2 linked regions of the Alligator mississippiensis genome follow. The protein of the gene in region 1 interacts with the protein of each later gene in a pairwise test. Links are inferred from orthologs where the notes say so. Each region holds a gene or a part of one and is shown in the gene's direction. Other genes may lie near its edges.

The links.
Region 2: the proteins of CDCA7L (region 1) and CTNNBL1 interact in binary tests that used the Homo sapiens proteins (3 or more experiments, as listed by UniProt). The link is inferred for Alligator mississippiensis from reciprocal best matches to the Homo sapiens genes CDCA7L and CTNNBL1.

The regions. Positions count from the first base shown.
Region 1 is NC_081828.1:159,783,285-159,793,422, forward strand, and holds the start of CDCA7L (cell division cycle-associated 7-like protein), read left to right. Parts: upstream 1-5,348; 5' UTR 5,349-5,478; coding exon 5,479-5,502; intron 5,503-10,138. UniProt on the Homo sapiens protein: Plays a role in transcriptional regulation as a repressor that inhibits monoamine oxidase A (MAOA) activity and gene expression by binding to the promoter.
Region 2 is NC_081832.1:818,960-829,757, forward strand, and holds the start of CTNNBL1 (beta-catenin-like protein 1), read left to right. Parts: upstream 1-6,134; 5' UTR 6,135-6,146; coding exon 6,147-6,191; exon of another isoform or gene 6,192-6,311; intron 6,312-6,413; exon of another isoform or gene 6,414-6,418; coding exon 6,419-6,607; intron 6,608-7,854; coding exon 7,855-7,961; intron 7,962-10,307; coding exon 10,308-10,447; intron 10,448-10,798. UniProt on the Homo sapiens protein: Component of the PRP19-CDC5L complex that forms an integral part of the spliceosome and is required for activating pre-mRNA splicing.

The DNA.
Region 1 (10,138 bases):
TTTACTTTTGTTTCCCTCCGAGGGTTCCTGCCCCTGGGGTTCCTCCCTGGCATTTTGGGGTCCTCCTGTCTGTTCTTCCCTGTGACAGTCAGCTTCACAGTAAATGTCTTGTGTAGACACACCCAGTGTGAATCCTGTTGCTGCAACTAGTTCTTCCATAATACTAATTCTTTCATGACAGTTCTTCCATAAACAGAATTTTCAGCCACACAAATATTTCTCTGCTGCTGGGGGGAGGGGATGATAGCCACATTGCAAATCTGCAGAACCAGCAATAACCACTAACTCTGTAATGATAATATATTTTATTTTTCTTCAAAATAGGGGGAAAAACAAGCATTTCGCTCCTTTACCACTTTTTTCAGGTATATAAGAACATTTATTTCCTGATTATGTCAGCCTAGCTTCCTTGCTGGAGGCTTCAGAATATGGGTCCAGATTACAGGGAAGGAAAATTGGGTAAGTAGAGATGACAATTAGCAGGTAACCGGGACCTTTTTGTGGTTCTAACCCTCTGTGGATGCATAACCCAGAAAATAGGCCAATTTATCCTCCTAGTGTTGGGTAGGTACTGTAAGACTGTGACAGTAGCATAAGGAGGGTTGTGGCAGTGTGATTGTAGCTCTTTCTTTAGCCCTGTGTTGCATGCACAGTGAGCCCCTGGGGTCTGGAACTGTTTAAAATGAGAACTCTGTGCAGACCCCACGCTCACCAGCCAGTGAGATCATAGAACTCATTACACATGTTGGATTTTGGGCAGGAACTGTGTTGACATGCTGTGAGCTCAGAGCACTTACTGGCATCCAGGATCCTGACCAGGGAGGTGCATCCACACCCCATTTGGCTGTATGACACATGTACAATGAGCTCTCTTCACTGTGTGTGCCACATTGCTGAAGGGGTGTGTATGGCTGCACCCCCATTGCTCCGATCCTAGATCTATGGGAGCTCACTCAGTAATCCTTTCTGTAGTTGCATGTCTTTTTCTTGTAGGCCTATTTAAAGCATGCTGTTACTCTGAATAGTGGTTTTATAAGAATGACATTTCACTCAACAGTTTTTTTCTATGTGTATTTACTTGAGTTGGAAAAAAATATACTATTTTACTTTTGTCAGCCTTACAGTACCTACCCAACATGAGGAGGATCAATTGGACTATTTCCTGGGTTATGCATCCACAGAGGGTTAAAACCACAAAAAGAGTGAGGTTTTAAAAAGGTGACTATTTTAACATCTAACTTCTGGGCTGCTAGCTTGCCCAGCAGAACCCACAGCCATGATTAAGTTTCCTGGGGAGAGTTAGGTACCTCATAATGGGATTCACAACAGGTATTATGCAGCGCACATGCTTAACTGGTCAACAATAAATGTTGTTGTCTTCCATCCCTCTAAGCCTGAAGTGCCTAGTGTCAGGCTGCAGAAAAACGCCCAGAGACTTCTCTAGAAATTAGATACCTAAGCCCTTTCTTTCAAAAAAAGAAAACATTCTCTTTTTCTTTTAAAATATGGCTTTTGGAAGAGTTGGTGGTCGGGCTGATGCTCTTGCCTTGTGATCACAGCACTCTTATGAGAAGTAAGATATATGATTTGAACCCTCTCAGGTAGGAGGAAACTGAACCTAGGTCTTCCACGTACTGGGTGCCCACATGAACACTGGCCAAGATTTTGAACAAAAGCTGTGGCCATCACTGCATAGAAACCAATTATGTAGGTGTATGTTAGCAAGTTCAAGAGGGGGCCGGGTCCCTCAGGGATATGGTGAGGGGAGTGCCTAGTTTTTGGATCCCAATGGGTCTAAAAAGTGCAGTGGGGTACTGAGCTGCTCTGTTTGGTTACTAGGTATGAGCAGAATCTGAATTTTAGGTGCCCAGAGAGCTTCAGGGGTGATATGTAGGCATTTGCAGCCATTGCCTATGCCTCTAGATCCTAATGTAGTTTCTCAAGACCTACGTGTGGTATCATTAACATAGATTACAAAGATTACAAAGATTAACAAAGATTACAGTTAGATGCAAAGATAGTTTCTTTATCAATGCTTTGGATATATATATATATATATATATATATATATATATATGTATGTATATATGTGTGTGTGTGTGTGTGTGTACTTCTACACTTCTTGGACTTCTTATATATATGAGGAGTCGCCATGTACTTGTGCACCCCTACACATACACGTCTGCCAGGCAGCCTGGAGAGCAGCTCCCCACAGGTAAGTATGGCGAGGGTGGGGGTGGGGCGATTGAGGCCCCATAAGGATGGAGGGGGGGAGTTGGGCTGGGGCTGGGACTCCTGCCCAGCCTGGGCGATGTGTGGGGCTTGAGGTCTAGGACTGAAACATATGGCTGCAGGGCCTGAGCAGGGAGCGGGACGGGGCCATGAGCAGCTTGTGTGGAAAGTGAGGGCTGGCTCCCTGCTGCTGCTCACACTCCCAGGGGCATGTGCCCCCTCCAGATTTGTCCACAGGGTCAGGGTGGGCTGGTTGCTGCAGTCTTGGGGCTCCCCACCCTGCTGCCTTCCCCCTGGGGGCTCTGCAGCCCAGCAGGCGGGACTTGACACAGCAGGGCAGAGCAGGGCCAGGCAGAGAAGTCGTTGCCACCGCTGGGAGCTCTGTGTTGCCGTGGCAAGGTGCCCCTTGCCTGCCCAGCAGCAGCGAGGGGCACAACTCCTTGCCACCACTCCCGCAGCTGTCAGCGAGGCAGGGGGCATCTCACCAGGGCAGCATGGAGCTTGCAGCAGCAAAAAGCTTCCCTGCCCAGTCATGCTAGGTTCCGCCCACTGGGCAACAGAGACCTTGGGGGAGGGCAGCAAGATGGGGAGCCCTAGGCCCACAGTGGGCAATCTTCATTCACCCCCACCAACAGGCTCTGCTCTGCTCATGCTCTCCTTGGGAGAGGGGAGCTGGGCTCTGCACTCTGCTTTGCTGCAGCAGCTGCTGCCTCCTGCGGGCAGCAGCTGGTTCTTGGGCACTACTGCAGGGGGCTGCAGACCTGGGTCCCTAACCCTGTAGCCCTGGCAGCTGGGGGCCCCCTCTGGCAGGGCTGTGGGAGGTAGGGGGCTGTGGGTGGGGAGTGAGGGGCACCAGCAGGGCTGGGGTGGCTGTGTTTTGGGAGTGAGGGCCCTGGACCTGCATCCTGGTGAGTGAAGGGAGCAGGGGAAGCTCAAGTTTTCCATGATAAAAAAATCCAAAATCAAGTAGCAAAATGTATAGGTACTTAGAATGTATTTTATTATAATGATACAGGCACTGATAGACTTCCAAATTGCTTTAAAATTGTAAATATACCAATAAACCATTGTGTTCAGTTGATACCTATATATATATAGCGGCGTTTCATTTTAATTGCAGATTTCAGGTTGTGGGGGGAGGGTTATTGCAGAGCTTGCAATTTTTAAACAGAGAAAACCAAGATCCCTGCTAATCAGTTTCACCTTTGGTTTCACCTGCTGTAGCCCTGTATTGCAGAAGTAGGACTAAAAAAAGACACAGGGATATTCATACAAAACTTTTAAAGATTAAAATGTTTTTATTCTCTACAAAACTTTATATGGTAACAAAGAATGTATTTTAAGGCCTATTTCCTGAAAATACAAGTGTATACACCAGTGATTCTCAACCAGGATGCTGCACAATATTAGCTCTGTTGGTGTGTTAACCTAGGTTAGGCACAAGATAAACCCAGAAGTTTCAAATAGAAATCCATAGTTTCAAAAACATTCAGATGTGTTTTGGTCTTCCTAAGTTCTTTGTGACAGTAGAACTGTTCTATTATTTTTCTGTACCCAAAAAACCCCAAATAAGTAAAAGCTAAGAGCTGGTATTTTCTTGAATCTAAAAAGGTTTAAAATGGTTGAGAAGCATTGGTATGTACTCTACTTTCTATGTGAATCAGAATCAACACAGGTGCACTATGCCTGTAAAATCAGGGCCTAACCCACCACAGTCCCTTTGAATAGCACTGGCTACTTATTTTACTTCTATTTGTGGGGGCAGGGACAAGAAATGATGCTGGCTGTAGGCTAAGACATAAAGACTGTTTTCATATTGGAATGTAATAGTTTTGGCTGCCTCTTTCTAAATGTAATTTAGGAGAACTGCCTAATCTGCAACCCCAGAAAGAGCAGAGGATCCCCTGGCAGTGCACATCAGGGTGTTGTGCAGTATTCATACAGCATGTGGCCTGTCAGGTGCAGTGGTGACTGCGGTAGGAATCAGCTGGCTAGAGAGACAGTTTCAAGACCCATCATTTCCCAGCCTCTCCCTCCCAACTCTTAGGCTCACCAAGAAGCTGTCTGGGAATGAAGAGCTGGCTGCTGGCTCTGAAAGGTCTGAGGCTTTGATCACAAACGTGGTGATCATCGGTGTCCTGCAGCCACAGATCTCTACTTCCATTAACCAAGCTCCCCAACCAAAGGAAGCCTGATGAAGGGTGCTTGTGCCCGAAAACTTGCAATTAAAGAATTTTTTTTGCAAATATCTTGTTGATCTAATCATGAATGTTGCATGCCTCCTGAGGCCAGGGAGGGCGTGGCAACCTCCTGCAGGCGGCCATGGTAGTGGTGGTGTCGGTGGCAAGTGGGGAGCTTCTGTAGGTGGTTGCGGCAGTGTTTGTGGAGGGCTGGCCAGCTCTGATAGTGACCACCCGCAGACACAGCTGGCAGCGTCCGTGGCCAGTGGCGATTGCCCACAGACGCCACCAGCGGTGGCGGAGGCGGGTGGGGAGGTGTTAGCAGTGACTGCCTGCAGGAGCCGCCGGCAGCGTTAGCAGTGGCCAACCTCAGGGGGTGCACATGTACCCGTGTGCACCCCCTACGCGTCGCCAATAGGTCTAATAAAAGATATCACTTGTGTTCACGAGCCCTGGTGGCTTTTTCCAACCAAAGGAAGACACAAATCCCAGCAGCCCTCCTTGTCCAGGAGAAAAGCTTGTAAGAAAGGATGCCTCGGGGTTGAAACAACAACAAAAAAACCAAACAACCTCCCCCCCATCGAAAAGGAAACTCACCCCCAACCTTCCTGCTTTTTATCGCCGTTTCCCAACTTTGGGAGCTGAATACTTAGGGAAGCCTGAGGGGAAGAGGCATGGCCGGCACAGGCAGCCTCTTAGGCAGGAGGCTGGAGTGAGGGGATCGGACCCGCCCGGCACCCTGTCAAACGTGCGGCCCAGCCGGGGGCGGTCTCTAGCGGGAGGGAGCGGGGACCGAGGCGCGCCAGGAAGAGCCGCGCCAGCAGGACGAGCCGGGAGCCGCTGCCGCTGCCGCTGCCGCTGCTCAGGTAGCGACCGCCCCGCCCCGGGCCTCTCCCGCGCCCCGCCCCGGGCAGCCGGGCGCCGAGCGCAGGCCAGAAGGGGGCGCAGCGGGCCCCACGCAGCTGCGGGCGGAGCCGTGCGAGCGCCGAGGGGCCCCGCGCCGCCGCCGCCCGCCTGTCCCGGAGCAGCCGCGTTGTGGCGCCGAGCGGCCGGGCCGCGCCGGGCCATGGCTGCGCCAACCCACGACCAGGTGAGGGGCTCGGAGCAGGCCGGGCCGGGCCGGGCCGCACAGGGCCCCTCTCGCTTCCCGCCGAGCGCGGCCTGCAGCGGCTTTGGCGCCAATCGCAGCCCCGCTCCCGCGCGCCCGCCTCGCTGCTCGCGACGTGCAGCGCGGCCGGGTCCTGCCCTGCCCTGGCCCCCGGGCCGCCTCTCCTCAGCTGCCGGCTGCTTGCAGGGGCTCGCGGGCGGGGAGGTGGTCGCTACTGCTGCTTGGTGCTAAAGTGCTGTCCCGCTGATGGGCCGCGGTTTATCCTCACGCGCCCGCCTCCTTCCTTCCTTCCTTTCTCCCGCCGGGCAAAAACTGCAGGAAGTTTTTCCTCAGAAGTTTGAAAGTCCGCCTCCGCCTCCGTGTGCTGTGGCCTGGAGCTGTGCGGGCAGGAGGCAGCTTTTCCTCCCCTTCGGGACAGTCCGGTCTCGCTTCTGCCCGGACATAGTGTGTCTATTTGACATTTAAATACAGATATATTCGGTTTGAGTCTTTTTTTGGACACCTCAGATTTGAACTAAAAGCCAGTGTCCTTCTGGCGCGCAACTCTGCAGCTTGAGTGGCTGGCAAAGGAAATGTGGCAGCAGCCATGCTCCACCCCCTCCATCCTGCTGCCTGCTCAACATGCTGCGAAAATCGGGGGGAAAAAATCAAACCCAGGGGTTTTAGTGCTACGTTTAAACGTACACTCTTGCATGTCAAAAGGTAAAACGTTCTCCCCCCATCACACCCATGGTACTGATGTGAGCTCAGGGCCTGCAGCTAAACGTGAGGCATTTAACTCGTGGTGAAGCGCCCTTCCTCGAACTTCTGTGCCGAATGTCGTTGGGGAAGATGGTGTTACTGCCCCTTACACTTTGCCTCTCAATGCAGTGGTCAAGAGGGTGCAAAAGGACTTCCATTGTAATTTGGATTTGGTAAAAGCAGGCTGCTGCAGTAGATGCTATCATGGTTTTAACAAATCCAGAGATGCTGGGTAGAAGTTACCTGAGTCACTGCTTTGCAAAAGGCCATCTTTTGAAAAGAGGTTCTGGAAGGCTCAACTTGTAAAACTTTTAATAGTAATAATAATTCTCTTCTTCTGTCTCTTCTCACTCATGGACAAGGTGTTAGTTTGGACCCAGGTTCTGCAGACACCTGTAACTTCAAGTCTCTGTAAACGCTGGGAGAATTGAGGCCTTGGGAATGGGTGTGTAGGTTCAGTTTTACATTTCTGAGCAAGGCTGTTGAGCTTCACTTGCTTCAGATGTCAGTGAGGCTACTCAGGCGTGCAAAGTTACTTGTTTAAGTGTTTGCAGAATCGGCACCTCCTTGAAGCATTGTTGCAGGATTGTACCCTCGTGTCATCACACCAGTCAGAGCTAGTTGTAGTGGCTCTAATTTAAGTTATGGGGAAGGTAGATTTACGCGGTTTGCAGTTGAACACAGAGTAGTGCCCTTTTATGGAACATTTCAGAAAATAGTACGTTGACTTGCATGCTTATTGAAGCCTGGTGAACAACTCTGTGTCTGGTTCTGCCATAGCACTATAACCATCTCTGTCTATAAAGTAACATAGCAGTATTACTAGGGATGCTGTGAGGCTATTAGTGGTTGCAAATAATTTTGAGATGTTTTGGCCAAAAACGTTTAATGTAAGTGCAAAGTATTTACAATGCCTGGTGTTACACGGGGGGAGCATTTTTACCTGAAGGAAAGCATTTTTTTCTATAAAATTAAAACCCAATACATAAATGTAGACTTTCAAGGGGAAGTGAAAGGGAGAGAGAATAGCTATCTTTTCTAATCTTCCTCTTCTTTCTCATAGGAGTTCTTGGGGGGGGTTGATGGGAGCAAAAGAGACTGCAGTTCTGCCCTCTGTCTTGTGTATTCCTTCTTTCTGTAGAGCTGATAGCAATGTGTTTATTTCCTGCTGAGCCTCATGGAGCCATACCTTCAGGATTTTAAATGTATGCCAGGGCTTCCTTGTCTTCAGGTGCAAAGTTTGGTAAGATATTCATGACGTACTGCGGACAATTACTAGCCAAGTAGAGAATAATAAACTACTTTAGTCACAATACGTACTTGGTTTTCTAGGTGTTTCGGTTGGCAGACAATATAATTTATGCACTCTTTGAAGAAGATAGGAATATGTTGGTCCAGTCCCAGTTCTATAGACGTCTTCAGGGTAAAATTGGAGTTGTATAAAATAAATGTTGCTCTTTACATGTACTTCACGTATGGGGGCCTGGTATGAATGTCAGGTATGGCAGAAATCCAGGCATTTTAAGTTTTAAAACTGGCATTTACTAATTAACTGAAATTTTGTCACAAAAAGGCAGCCATAAAATCCTAAGGTTCCAGGTCTGCAAGTGATTTTATGCAGATAAACCCATGTGCTTGCATGAAACTGTTCAAGTCAGTAATTCAGCAGTCACCTGCACAGCTTATGTTGAAGTTGTTTCTGTACTACAGTAGTTTATATGGCGGCAAACTCAGGATGCAGTGGCATCATACATGTATGCTGTTTGGAAAACCAAGATTCAGGAGTAGGTCAGAGATCTCAAATAAGACAGAAGTGGTCTTAATTCAGGCAAAATCATCTAAGTAACTAGGTGCAGCAATAGCTAGTTAGGGCAGGTAGAGCAGTTAAGGTATTTGTTTATATATCTAGAGGTATGAGAGGGTTTTTCCCTTTTGGTACGGCATCTGTGAATGAAATTCCCTTCTTCATATACATTCAGATAGTGCTGGACATGCCAATAGATTTACTTGGACCACCCTGAATTATGATTTTAAATGAATTTACTTTGCCTGAACATTTCCTTCAGTCAGGATTATTTGGTTCGACTAACACAAACACATTCTGTGAGGGAAGCTAGGGTTTGAATTCAGCATCCGCTGTCTGCTTCATGGTAACTGCCTGCTGTGATAATTGAGAGTCAGGCTACCTTGGCTTTACCTTAGGGTCACAGCATCCATGTAGGAAGTTATGGAGGAGCAGCTAATGGACTATAAGTTCACACCCTGGCTTACTTCACTGTAATTTTTATGTGTTTTTCTGTGTTCAGGCCCTAAAACAATGGAGGCTTTGGTTCACCTGGTATAAGAGTGTCCACACACAGATTTGCAGAGGTTGTTGAACACCATAAAAATTAATAGCATCTTCCTAGATATGCCAGTTTAAATAAAAGAACATCTTGTTAATTTTTAAATGCAGTACACCCTCATTATAATAAATCTTGTTCATAACAACAAGCTGTTTCTTTTAACAATCCCACCAGCAGGAACTGATAACTTTTCCCATTATTATGGCATAACCCTAGTAGAGTAAACACCCTTTTTAAAATGCCCTGTCTTCCTGGTTGGTTGTGAGGTTGTACTGTAAATGCACCAAGAATAGATTCAGGCTCAGCTCTTTAGTTCTCCGTCCCAGATTTTGTATTTGGGTTTCTTGGGGATTTGTTTTGTTTTGATTTGAATTCCTGGTGTCTAAAGGTCCTAAACAAACAAGGAAACAGAATGAATTTACAGGAAAAACAGTGAAATTGACTGTTTACTGTATCAAAAACTACAAAAATAGAGAAGAGGTTGCTTTCAATGATATAATAGCCATCTTTTTGTGTGGAAGAGCATGCTGTCACAGGTAGCATATGGCTGATACTGATTTATTAAAACTTTTTAAATGTAACTTGCATATGTATTTAATAAAACAGGTTGACTATATATTATTTTTCAAGATTTCCACTGAATAGAGCTCAGTTGTAAACAAATGTATATCTCTTTAAATGGTCCAGCCCTTCATAATGGAGCTGCAGAATTGTAAGCCATATTTCATTTTGTCTTTCTCACATTGGCCAAGCTGACTATTAAATTCTTACCTCAGAATTTTTACTATTGATGAAGCAAAATTGGAGCCCACTTGGGTACGTGGTTCATTTTTATTTGCTTGTCAAGGCAAGTGTAGTATGTAAGGATCATAGTAAGAAAAATCTTGTTTTGACTTGTTGAGGCACCAGATGTCATCTATTTTCTCCATCAGTCATATATTGAATACTAAGATGTCACTAAAATTATGAGTTTTCTTACTTTTGATGTAGTTTTAACTCCCCTCCCCCCCTTAACCTGGGGGGGATGTTAAAATCCCCCATTTCCCCTTTTGTTATTCACAAGCTTCCTTTACTATAGGATCAAAAAGATTTGCATGATTACAAACAAGCCATATTCTCTCAGTTACACCAATGCAATGCTATTAATTCCATTGTGTGTGTGTTTCATCTACTTTAGCTACACTTAAAGAGTTATTGATCTCAACTTTCTCGAAGAAGATGCATAAGATATTTTTATTTCCAATTTAGAGATGGGGAAACTGAGGGAAGTGTTATGTACATGTGTGCTTTGGACATGCTTTTAAGAATGAGACAGAAACATTATTCTCAATGTATTTGGCAAAACCCCATGACCAGCAGATGTTAGGTGAAGGATTAAAAGGACTCTTCTTTGCACATTCAAGGATGAGACAAAAAGTGAGGGATTGATATAGAAATGTAGCCGGGGAAGTCTATCAGGCCCAGTCTCCTTTGTTTGCAGGAAACTGTCCGAAAGGGTCTACAAAAGTATCTACTTGGGCTCTTTTGTGTCG
Region 2 (10,798 bases), on another chromosome or scaffold:
ACAAAAAACTCTGGGAAGAAAAGATGCAGGAAGTATTGTGAGCGTGCTTACTTGTAAGAGGGCAGGGGACCGGGAACCAGCCCGAGAGGTTCCTTCATTTCCCACGGTTAGGCCGTGTGGTTTGCCACCTGCCTGGACACTGCCCAGCCTGGCGGGTGCAACCTGGCGGAGGGACTGCAAACGGTAAATAGGTTTGCAACAACATGGACATTAAGATTCCCCGTAGTTCCCTTTATCACCTCCTAAGAGCGACATTGCAGTGTAGGACTGCAGAAATGAACACATCTAGGATCACACAGGTGTTTAATTTTAACCTAGGCTCTTAATCCCTGTTTTTGGGATTAAGGATAGTCTTGCTGCTCCCCACGTATCCCAGTACCCTGTGCCATTCAAGGCTTGTGCAGAGCAGTGTTCTCCCTGCTGTTGGTCTTATGCCCAGCTTTTAAGAATCAGAACTTGTGGCAGAGGTGATATCTTTTATTACACCAACTAGATATTTGCAAAAAAAGTCTTTATTTGTAAGCTTTTGGTCATGCTCGCCCTTCCTCAGGCATAGGAGAATACAAAAATTGTAAAATTTTTCCTAGGCGGAAATGAAAATTCATACTTCACAGGAGAGCAGAGGGTGTTACAAGATCTCCTGGTTGGAAAAGCTTTTAAGATGCATTTAAGGCGCACGGGCCAAGTCCCGGAGGACTGGAAAAGGGCTAACGTGGTCCCCATTTTCAAAAAGGGGAGGAAGGAGGACCCGGGCAACTATAGGCCAGTCAGTCTCACCTCCATCCTTGGTAAAGTCTTTGAAAAAATTATCAAGGCTCACATTTGTGAGAGCCCGGCAGGACAAGTTATGCTGAGGGGAAACCAGCATGGGTTTGTGGCGGGCAGATCGTGCCTGACCAACCTAGTCTCTTTCTATGACCAGGTTACGAAACGCCTGGACACAGAAGGAGGGGTGAATGTCGTATACTTAGACTTCAGGAAGGCCTTCGATACGGTATCCCACCCCATACTGGTGAACAAGTTAAGAGGCTGTGACTGGGATGACTGCACAGTCCGGTGGGTGGCGAATTGGCTAGAGGGCCGCACCCAAAGAGTCGTGGTGGATGGGTCGGTCTCGACCTGGAAGGGTGTGGGCAGTGGGGTCCCGCAGGGCTCGGTCCTTGGACCGATACTCTTTAATGTCTTCATCAGCGACTTGGACGAGGGAGTCAAATGTACTCTGTCCAAGTTTGCAGATGACACAAAGCTATGGGGAGAAGTGGACACGCCGGAGGGCAGAGAACAGCTGCAGGCAGACCTGGATAGGTTGGACAAGTGAGCAGAAAACAACAGGATGCAGTTCAACAAGGAGAAATGCAAAGTGCTGCACCTAGGGAGGAAAAATGTCCAGCACACCTACAGCCTAGGGAATGACCTGCTGGGTGGCACGGAAGTGGAAAGGGATCTTGGAGTCCTAGTGGACTCCAAGATGAACATGAGTCGGCAGCGTGATGAAGCCATCAGAAAAGCCAATGGCACTTTATCGTGCATCAGCAGATGCATGACAAATAGGTCCAGGGAGGTGATACTTCCCCTCTATCGGGCGCTGGTCAGACCGCAGTTGGAGTACTGCGTGCAATTCTGGGCGCCACACTTCAAGAAGGATGCGGATAACCTGGAGAGGGTCCAGAGAAGGGCCACTCCTATGGTTAAGGGCCTGCAGACCAAGCCCTACGAGGAGAGACTAGAGAAACTGGACCTTTTCAGCCTCCGCAAGAGCAGGTTGAGAGGCGACCTTGTGGCTCCCTATAAGTTCATCACGGGAGCACAGAAGGGAATTGGTGAGGTTTTATTCACCAAGGCGCCCCCGGGGGTTACAAGAAACAATGGCCACAAGCTAGCAGAGAGCAGATTTAGACTGGACATTAGGAAGAACTTCTTCACAGTTCGAGTGGCCAAGGTCTGGAACGGGCTCCCAAGGGAGGTGGTGCTCTCCCCTCCCCTGGGGGTCTTCAAGAGGAGGTTAGATTCGCATCTAGCTGGGGTCATCTAGACTCAGCACTCTTTCCTGCCTATGCAGGGGGTCAGACTCGATGATCTATTGAGGTCCCTTCCGACCCTAACATCTATGAATCTATGAAAAAAGCAGACCTGCGCGGTTTTGAGAGCAACCATAATATATTGCGAAGGTTGAATGTCAGCTACACGGGCAGAGGCGCCATCCTCTGGGCATCATAACTGTGCACAGAGCAGACAAAGGTCTGCTTTAGAAAAACCTGATTTTTCACTGAAACACATTTTTTAAAACAAACTATTGTTAAAATTTAAATTTGAAATTGCTTATCTACAGTGAAGCCTAAATTTCCTACGAGGAAATTTCAATCCGGGGAAAAGAATTTCAGTTAAATTTTAAAAGTGCAAGTGTTGAGAGCTTGGGTTGAAGTTTCAAGGAAGTCGGACTGCTGTTGGGGAAGACGTCGCTGTTTGGAGTGATCTGCCTCCTCGTCTCCACCGCTCTTGAGCCAGTTCTGCTCTGGGGCCAGCTCAGTTGCAGACTGGGAGGTAGCAGCAGGAAAGCTGGTTTTCTTCTTCCGATTTGTCGAGGGAGGGGAGGGGGTTTCTAAATATACAGGACACTAATTCTAACCTCTTGGCAGAGACTGCGAGCATAAACCCTCCGAGCAAATCACTTAATACGTTGACATGAAAAACATGTTTTAATAAAGCAGCACGTGCTATGATTTTTAACTGAATAAACAGTTTTAAACTCTTGTTCCTGTGTATTTGTAATTAAATTTCCATCTAAATGCAGCATATCACAATTCATGAGTTTAAAAAAAAGAACATTCTGTAGGAAGTAAAGCCTTTATTTACCACGTGAGTGGTGTTGTAAAAGGTGCAATATTTAGCACTGCATAAATGTTTGTTAAGATGGATAATGGCTTAAACAGATATCATGTTCCCGGTCAGCAAAAGTACCGATTTTAGTATAAAGCCTATCTGTAATTGGAAACATGTGACCAGTTACCAGCTGGCAAGAATCAACCTTTCTTTAAGAAAATAGCTGAAAACGACAAATGCAAAATGAGATTGAGATCAATAATTGAAATAAAGGCTTGCTGATCTCAATCAATCTGCTGCAACTCTGCATCTTCATACTTTTAAATGAGCAGAACTCCAGGCATTTTACTTCAGCTCTGGATTTCTTGGATTTTATTATTGCTCCTTTTATAACCGCAGTGTGCTTAGCGAGACGTTGCCCCCCTTCAGTAACTGATGCTGTGCTAAACCTTAACTCCTGTTTAACAAAGTTTGTCTGGGAATTCAATTATGTGCTGTTGCAAATACGTTGGCAGCATTAATAATTACACTCCAGGCGGTTTCATAATTTATCATAATGACTCTTATTACATATTATAGATGTATTCCTATTTCCCTCCTCCCTCCCCCCAAAAAAAGATAATATAATTGAGGTTGAAGCAGATTGTAAATGCTGATAATATAGATTGCACGCTCAGAGGAAATGGAGTTGGTTTCCTGGTGGAGTTTTAATTTAGAATTTGTTCTGGTGGGGTGGTTTCTTCCTATGGTACATTACTTCGCATCTGACAAAGCGCGGGCTGCCGTAGCCCATCATTGCAGCCACAGTCTCGTTGCTTTTTTAATTTAAAAAAATGAGGCGCAGAGAAATGAGAGCCTGAAGTCTGGGGTCAGACATACAGGGGGGCATACGAAGCAAAAGCTGTCTTTTCTCAAACTCTTCCAGGGCTCTAGAAGTCAGGCCCAATTTCCAATGGAAATCACCAGGGATCCTGGTTTTCTCTGACTTAAAAAATCCCCAATTTTCATTTTTTTTAAAAAAGGTAACCCCAAATTCACATTTTTCCATGATTAAAATGAAACGCCACTAATATATTGATCTAGCTATATAGTAGTGTTTCATTTTAATCATGGAAAAATGCGGGTTTGGCATTCCTTTTTTTCAAAGCCAGAAATTGGGGATTTTTTAAAATCAGAGGATCCCTGGAAATCACTTGCCGGGCTGGTGTGAATGAGTGGAGGTGCTCTGCCCTTTAACCTGGGGGCGAAGGGGGCGGTTGAATCGGTCTGCTTCCCTCTGTGTGGGACAGCACCGGGGGCGACTATTTAGGGCTTGTGCTTGGCACATCTGTTTACCTCGGCTTCTCCCTGCGGTGGTGTTAGCGAGAAGAGCATCTTTATTTTGGTTTTACGCTGAGTGTTGCTAATTGCTAGGGGAGTGTTCAAATTACTGTCTGCTGGAGACAATATGTTGTTCCTAAGTTGATCCGTGCGGCGCTGTAAGCCGTTACCGTGCCCTGAAGACGTGTAAGGGCATGCTTTTTTGGTTTTTTTGCTTTTTAAATTAAAAAAATAAATAGCATCCAGTCCTGCAGATGCCAAAATGGTCTACAGCGGCGTACACGTGTTTGTCACTTCAGCAGCTGTTGACATGCTGATGGGGACGGAGGGAACCTCGGCTCTGAACCTGGCGTGTCACGCGGCCCGTGGGCTGCGGGGCGACGCTGGCTGCAGGCAGAGCGGCGGGGGACTATAGCGTTGAGTAGCGTGCCGAACACAGCTGGCAGGACACCAGGGCTTAGCGCTTGCCAGCACCGTCCTGCCGTCTCTCACGTTGAAGCTCTGCCAACCCGGATTTTGCAGCCCATCCAAGCAGTGCAGTTTGCACTGGTTTAAACTAAACCGGTTTAGTTTAAACCGGTTTAGTTTAAACCAGTGCAGTCTAAAGCGGCCCCTAGTTGGGCTGCTTTTATGTCCATCTAAAAAGCAAAGCTGGCTCCTGCGCAGGCCTGCTCCAGTGCCCACGTGTGCGCTGTGTCGGCAGGCGCGCTCGCACTGACTTGTCTGTCACGGTGTATATACAGGACCGAATGAAAAGAAATGAGCTGCTCCCTGGCTTTGCCTCTGAGCTGGTCTGTGGTGGCGCGCTCCTTCTAATCGGAGTCTCAGCAGGTCTTGCCTTCTGAGCCGGGAAGAATGAGCGTCCCCTCCCCGGGGGCTGGAGCTCCTCGCCGGCTGGGGAGCTGCAGGGGCCTGCTTTGAAGCCAGCGCGCTCTGGGGACCTGGCAGGAGCAGTGCTCTCGCCCCTTCCCTCTCCGCCGCTGATGATTTGTGATTCCAGAAGAGTCGGGCTTGCAGCGCGGCAGCAGCTGCCATGTTCTTGGAAGTGGCATGTGACGTTCGAGGTGGCAGATAACGACCTGCAAAGCAGATCTGCGCCTTCCTCGCTGTGCCTTTGGATGGCTGACGAAGACCGGGGGGTGGGGGGGCATTGAGAGCAGATGTTAGCTTGCTGTGGTTTAATAAAACGTTAGGCTTTTCCTCCTCCGCTCAGCATGAAAGATCGTGGCTGAGTGACGAACTCGCAGGGTGTTTGTTTCCTTAGTCCGTGCAACCTGCACTAGAGCAGCTGGACGGGGAAGGGATTTTTGCTTCCCTTTAAAAGCCATTTTTTGTTAATGCCGGACACCAGTTAAAACAATTAGGAGCAGAACCTGCTGCGGTTCTTCAGCATAAAGTGGAGAGGTTTTATTCCCATTTCCTTGTCCTGCAAAAGACGGGAGATTCATTTTAATATTTCTCTTTTTGCCAAGGCGAGAAGTCCCAACAACAAGCCCTTTGGGGCTTTCCAGATGCACCTTAAATGAGGAAGGAGCGCATGTTCTTTCTTGTTCTTGGCAGGTTATCTTTAATCTTTAATTTTGCCTCGTGACTACAAACGGTGGATGAAAACAAGCAATCGCAAGCAACCCCTAGTGTGCACATGTTCTGCCTAGGATGGGGGGTCCATCTTCTGCAGAGCTGCACCGAATAACAGTACCGCGCTGGGTGTGCGGATGCAGGGCCTATTCTGCATTCGTTGTGTCCCCAGACTCCCCTGGTCTTTGTGGGGGTGGTATTAGGGTACACAGAAGAATTGGGTCTGAGCCGGGAGAGCTGTGGGGTGTGTGTGCAGCACTGGACACTTTAATGAATTGGCCTTTACCTGTAAAACATGAAGGTACATGGGAATTGGCTCATGAGAGATCGCCTCTGGGAACCAAGGACTTGCAATCAGTTTGCTTCACAACCCCAGGGTCGGGTTGCTCTGGCCAGCGCTCAGATTTGAAGTACCGGCGGCTTTTTTCATGATGCAGATATTTGCTGTGGTTGTTGTTGGAGGGTCAAAGCAGGTAGGACATTGTCACAGCTCCTGCCGGTGCCATTCATCTAGTTCTGTGAATTGAATTAATTCCCCTTCCAGTTTTCCAAGCGGGTGAATGTATAGTAGGCAGATCTGCAATTCTGATCAGCTGCGTGCAAAACAAACAAGCTCTGTCATCGGGATGCAAGCCACCCCCGGGGGCAAACCTTCTCGATTCGCTCACTCTGTTCCCACATGCTTTTTCTCTCACCTTAGCCCAACAGGGGGACAAAAAGACCCCGCGACGAGGAAGAGGAGGAGATCAAAGCCCGGCGGAAGCAAGTCGGCTCGCGGGAGCGCACTCGGCATCGGGAGGAGGATGTCGCGGCTTTGGAGGAAGCTGACGATGAGAAGAAGAAACTCCTTCAGATAATGGACAAAGAGGGAGAGGAGGAGGAGGAGGAGGTTGGTTGCCAATGCTCTGCAGGGAGGGGTTGTCTGCCAAAGGCAGCAGTGTCTGTTCAAAGCAGAGGGGTTTTCACCCTGGGACTTTAAAGGGAAGAAGAAGGTGCTGTAGAGTTGTCTGAATCCAAAGCTGGCTTCTCTGGAAGGGAGGGGAGAGCTAAAAATACTTCTGTGCAGGTGTGGAGGGAACTTTTGCAAATAATATCTGTTTTAGGCTGAAACAGCTTGACTCTTCTCAAATTTCTGAGGGGGAAAAAGCCTCAGGCTTCTAATTAGTTTTCTAAATCCATTACTCTCGTCAGTACTCACAGCCACACGGCTTCAGCCGCCCTCCCCTCGCGAGGTCTGCAGCAGCAGCAGCAGCAAATGAGCAAACATCCTTCTACAGACGAAAGGGCTTGGGTCAGCGGAGTGGGGTAGCAGCTGTCAAGGGTAAATGATTTCAAGCCCAGGAGACAGGAATCCGATACAGGACAGGCCCTTCTGCCAAAGGGCAAGGAAAAGATCACTTTATAAATGTGACGTGCAGATTGCTATGAATCCTGGAGATATTTGCTTCCTGCTACCTCTGTCCTGTTTGATGGAAAGCAAGTGATATTCACTGCTGCAGTCACGTGGGTTTGTAAAATATCATTGTCCTTCGTGTGCAGCATTGCCAGCATTCATCTCCCTGAAATCTCCCTTTAGTTTCTGATGTTGAGCTATTGCTGCTGCTGCTGCTGCTGATGCCTGAGACAGATAATGCAGGATTTCCCTAGCATTTGAGACTGAGGATGAATGGACAGAAGCAAATGCCCAGTTGACTGCCTAGGATCGGAGAGTCTTTGCGGCAGGGTGTGCGAGTGCCCTGCTCCTCTCTGCCAAGAGTGGCCCCCTCCAGGCAGCCTGCCTCTGCTGTACCTGGTCGTGCCAGACCTTCAAGGTCACTTCCTTGGACCGCAGTTCACATCAGTGCCGCTAGGAAACGTTTCAGGTGCGGAGCAGATGCTCTCACGTATACACGGGCCTCGTGGAAACATATCTCGCTAACTTGACTTTTTAATCTGAAAATGTTCTCCAGCGAGACTTCCACAGAGCTTCCTCCAGGACCTGTTATTCATTACATTGCTGTATCGTGTCTTGATCTGGGCCCAGGCTGGCCCCAGCCAGCATGCTCTGCTCATTACTCTCTTGTGTCTTGCCAGGTGGCTCTTGTAGCCATCTTTGAAGGATTAAGCTCTGAGGTTTTTTTTTTCCCCCTTGACTAGGAGGAACCACTGGATGAAAGCTCAGTGAAGAAGATGATTCTTACTTTTGAGAAGAGGTCTTACAAAAACCAAGAGCTGCGGATCAAATTCCCAGACAACCCAGAGAAGTAAGGCCCTACTCGGTTCCTCTGCCTAGCTGCTTGCCCCTTCTCTCCAGCCTCAGCCTTTCTGAACTGTAGAGATCTTATCCCTTTTAGTGGGAGGAAGGTTCACGGGAGTAAAGGCACTTAACCAGATATTACTCATAAACTTTATTTGAAATATTAAAGATAATTTAATTTAAAAAAATGAGTATTCCGGAGAGTGCTTCTAGTAGCAGGTGCGCTGCCAAAAGCCATCATTGGCAATTGCAGCCCAAAAAGGAAAATAGCAAGGAATTGGGAAGGCAGTTCTGTTTTATTTAAAACTATATTGATTTCCTTGCTGTGTTCATGATGCTTTAAAATTGTGATAGATGTTTTAATAATCTAAAATGTATTGTCTGTTGTTTATCTGTTGTGGGGGCTCAGATTCAAAAAAAGTGGGAGCTTAGAGTGGTCTCCTCAGGCCTTTCTTAGACATCTGACTGTGAGGCCTGATTGCAGAAGTGCCACCTGCTCAGCTGCTCCCAGGTCAGGAGGTGTCCTGGCCTTGTTTGCTACCAGGATGGTGACAGATTTGTTACCTTCTCTAAAACTGTGCAGGCCTTCTGCTGGCCAACTTTCAAATGATTGGATAAAGCAAACTTTCTGTAAAATATACTGTTTCCCTTGCTTCCCCTCCTTCTACTTGTCCTTTACATTAGTCTCCACTGCTTTCCTACAAGTCATTGTCCGTCTGCTGCAACTCTCCCTCTATAAAGTGTTCCCATCGTAGAATCACAGACAAGGAGGGTGGAAGGGACCTCAGTTGGACTAGTCGTGACCTCCCCCTGCTCCAAGCAGGACCAGCCCCAACTACATCATCCCAGCCAGGGCTTTGTCTAGCTGTGTCTTAAACACCTCCAAGGGTGGAGACTGCACCACCTCTGGGTAACCCCTTCCAGTGCTTCACCACCCTCCTCGTGAGAGTTTTTCCTAAAACTTGCCTTGCTGCTACTTGAGACTGTTGCTCCTTGTACAGTCATAGCATTGTTTTCCTTTGGATCTTGCATTTCTTGTCTTCCATTTCTCTTCATTGTTACCTCTTTCCTCTCTGTTTTGCCCATGATGCTGTCTCCCTCCAATGACCCATCACTTTGACTTATCACCACATGCAAGGAGGGTTTTACTCTGTCAGTGCATATGGCAAGTGTTTTGGAGGGTGAAAATTTGAGAGTGAATTTGAGGGCGTTATTTTCCAAACGAATAAATTCTCCATCGTGTTTTGATGCAGTAATTTGCCCCTTCCTTTCTTCTCCGTGCAGCTGACATTTGCACGTGGAGGGAATCCTGCCTCGCATTGTGGGAACTGCCAGCACTCGCTGCACTCGGCAGAACGGGAGGGTCAGATCAGCTAACCACAGGTTCCCCCAGAAGTGTGTCCCCAGACCTGCAGTATTTTGAACACTGCAGGTTTTTGGGAGCTCTTGTGCTGGGATCTTTCCGCTGCAGTGGCAGCACCCATTCCTCACCTGCCATTTCTTGGCATATTTGAATTGTGCCAGTTGCTGCTGTTGTGTCCTCTTCCATGGTGGTGGGGAAGAGGAGTTTGGCTGGTGTGAAGCCAAAGATGTATTCTGATGTGGCAGACAAAGCCTGTGGCCCCTTCTCAGTTGGCTATAGTCCTGATGCAGGGTGCTGGTGCTTGGTACCACGTTGCTGCCTGCTCTCTGGCACGGTCCTTTCTCCCACTGGTGAAGCGCACTGTCAGATGCCCAAAAGACAGTCTTCTCTGAAAGGCAGATACTGCTGAAAGTGATTTTCCCTAATGGGGTCTCTGTCTGGGGTTTTTGGTCTCTCTGCCTCAAGCACTCATATCCTCTTTACATGCTTTGTTGGGGGCTAAAAGAACCGATGTACTAATACATACAAGGCAAATCGGGAAAAGAGCTCTCTCTGGAGACCTTGGCATTAGATGTCTTGTGAAACGCAGTTCTGTTGAGATGGAGAGTTCAACCCCATTACTCGTTTATGCAGGGTCCTTGCTGTCAGTCTTGCCGAGCAGCTGCACCTATCCTGTATGCTTTTTTTTTTTTCCTTAAACTAAAATATATAACTAGCGAGATGGGATAGGGAGCAGTCTCCTAAAATTCTTGTGGGGCTAAGAATTGGATTGCACAGGCCCCTCAGAGCATTTGCAGTGAGATCTGGATCCAGCGACTGGCCTTGTGACAGCGTGAGCAGAGCTGGTTGGAAGTGATGCGCCGGCATTGTGCCTGGGTGAATGGCTCTTTGTGGGGGGCTAGTGCAAATGCTTTGTCCTCCTGGGAAGCCCATCCGTGTGCTTTTTGCCTGTTTTTCTGCTAATGAATTGTGCTGTGCCTCTGTCTGCAGGTTTATGGAGTCTGAACTGGATTTAAATGACATCATTCAGGAAATGCATGTGATTGCGACCATGCCAGACCTGTATCACCTGCTGGTGGAGCTGAATGCTGTGCAGTCCCTCCTGGGGCTTCTGGGCCACGACAACACCGATATCCTTTTGTGTTCAGCCTCTCGCGGGAGGGCTGCGCTGTTGTCTCCTCTTCTCCCTTTTCACAAGTGGCTGCTTGTCATTCTCTTCCCTTCCACTCCTCCAAGCTTCGTCTCCTTCTGCTCACCTGGAACCCTCTTTAGCCAAGTAGATTTTTCAGGAGTTTTTCAGTGCTCTTAGCTTTCCTGCCCCATTTTTAATAGAGGTTTGAATAATTTGTTTAATTCTCATCTTCGTTTAAAACTCGCTTTTGGGTATTCATGCAAGGGCAGTTGTAAACACAGAGAAGCAAACCCTGGGCTCCCCTTCCCAGGCATTGGCTTTGCCCTTGTACCTGACCCAACCTGCTGCC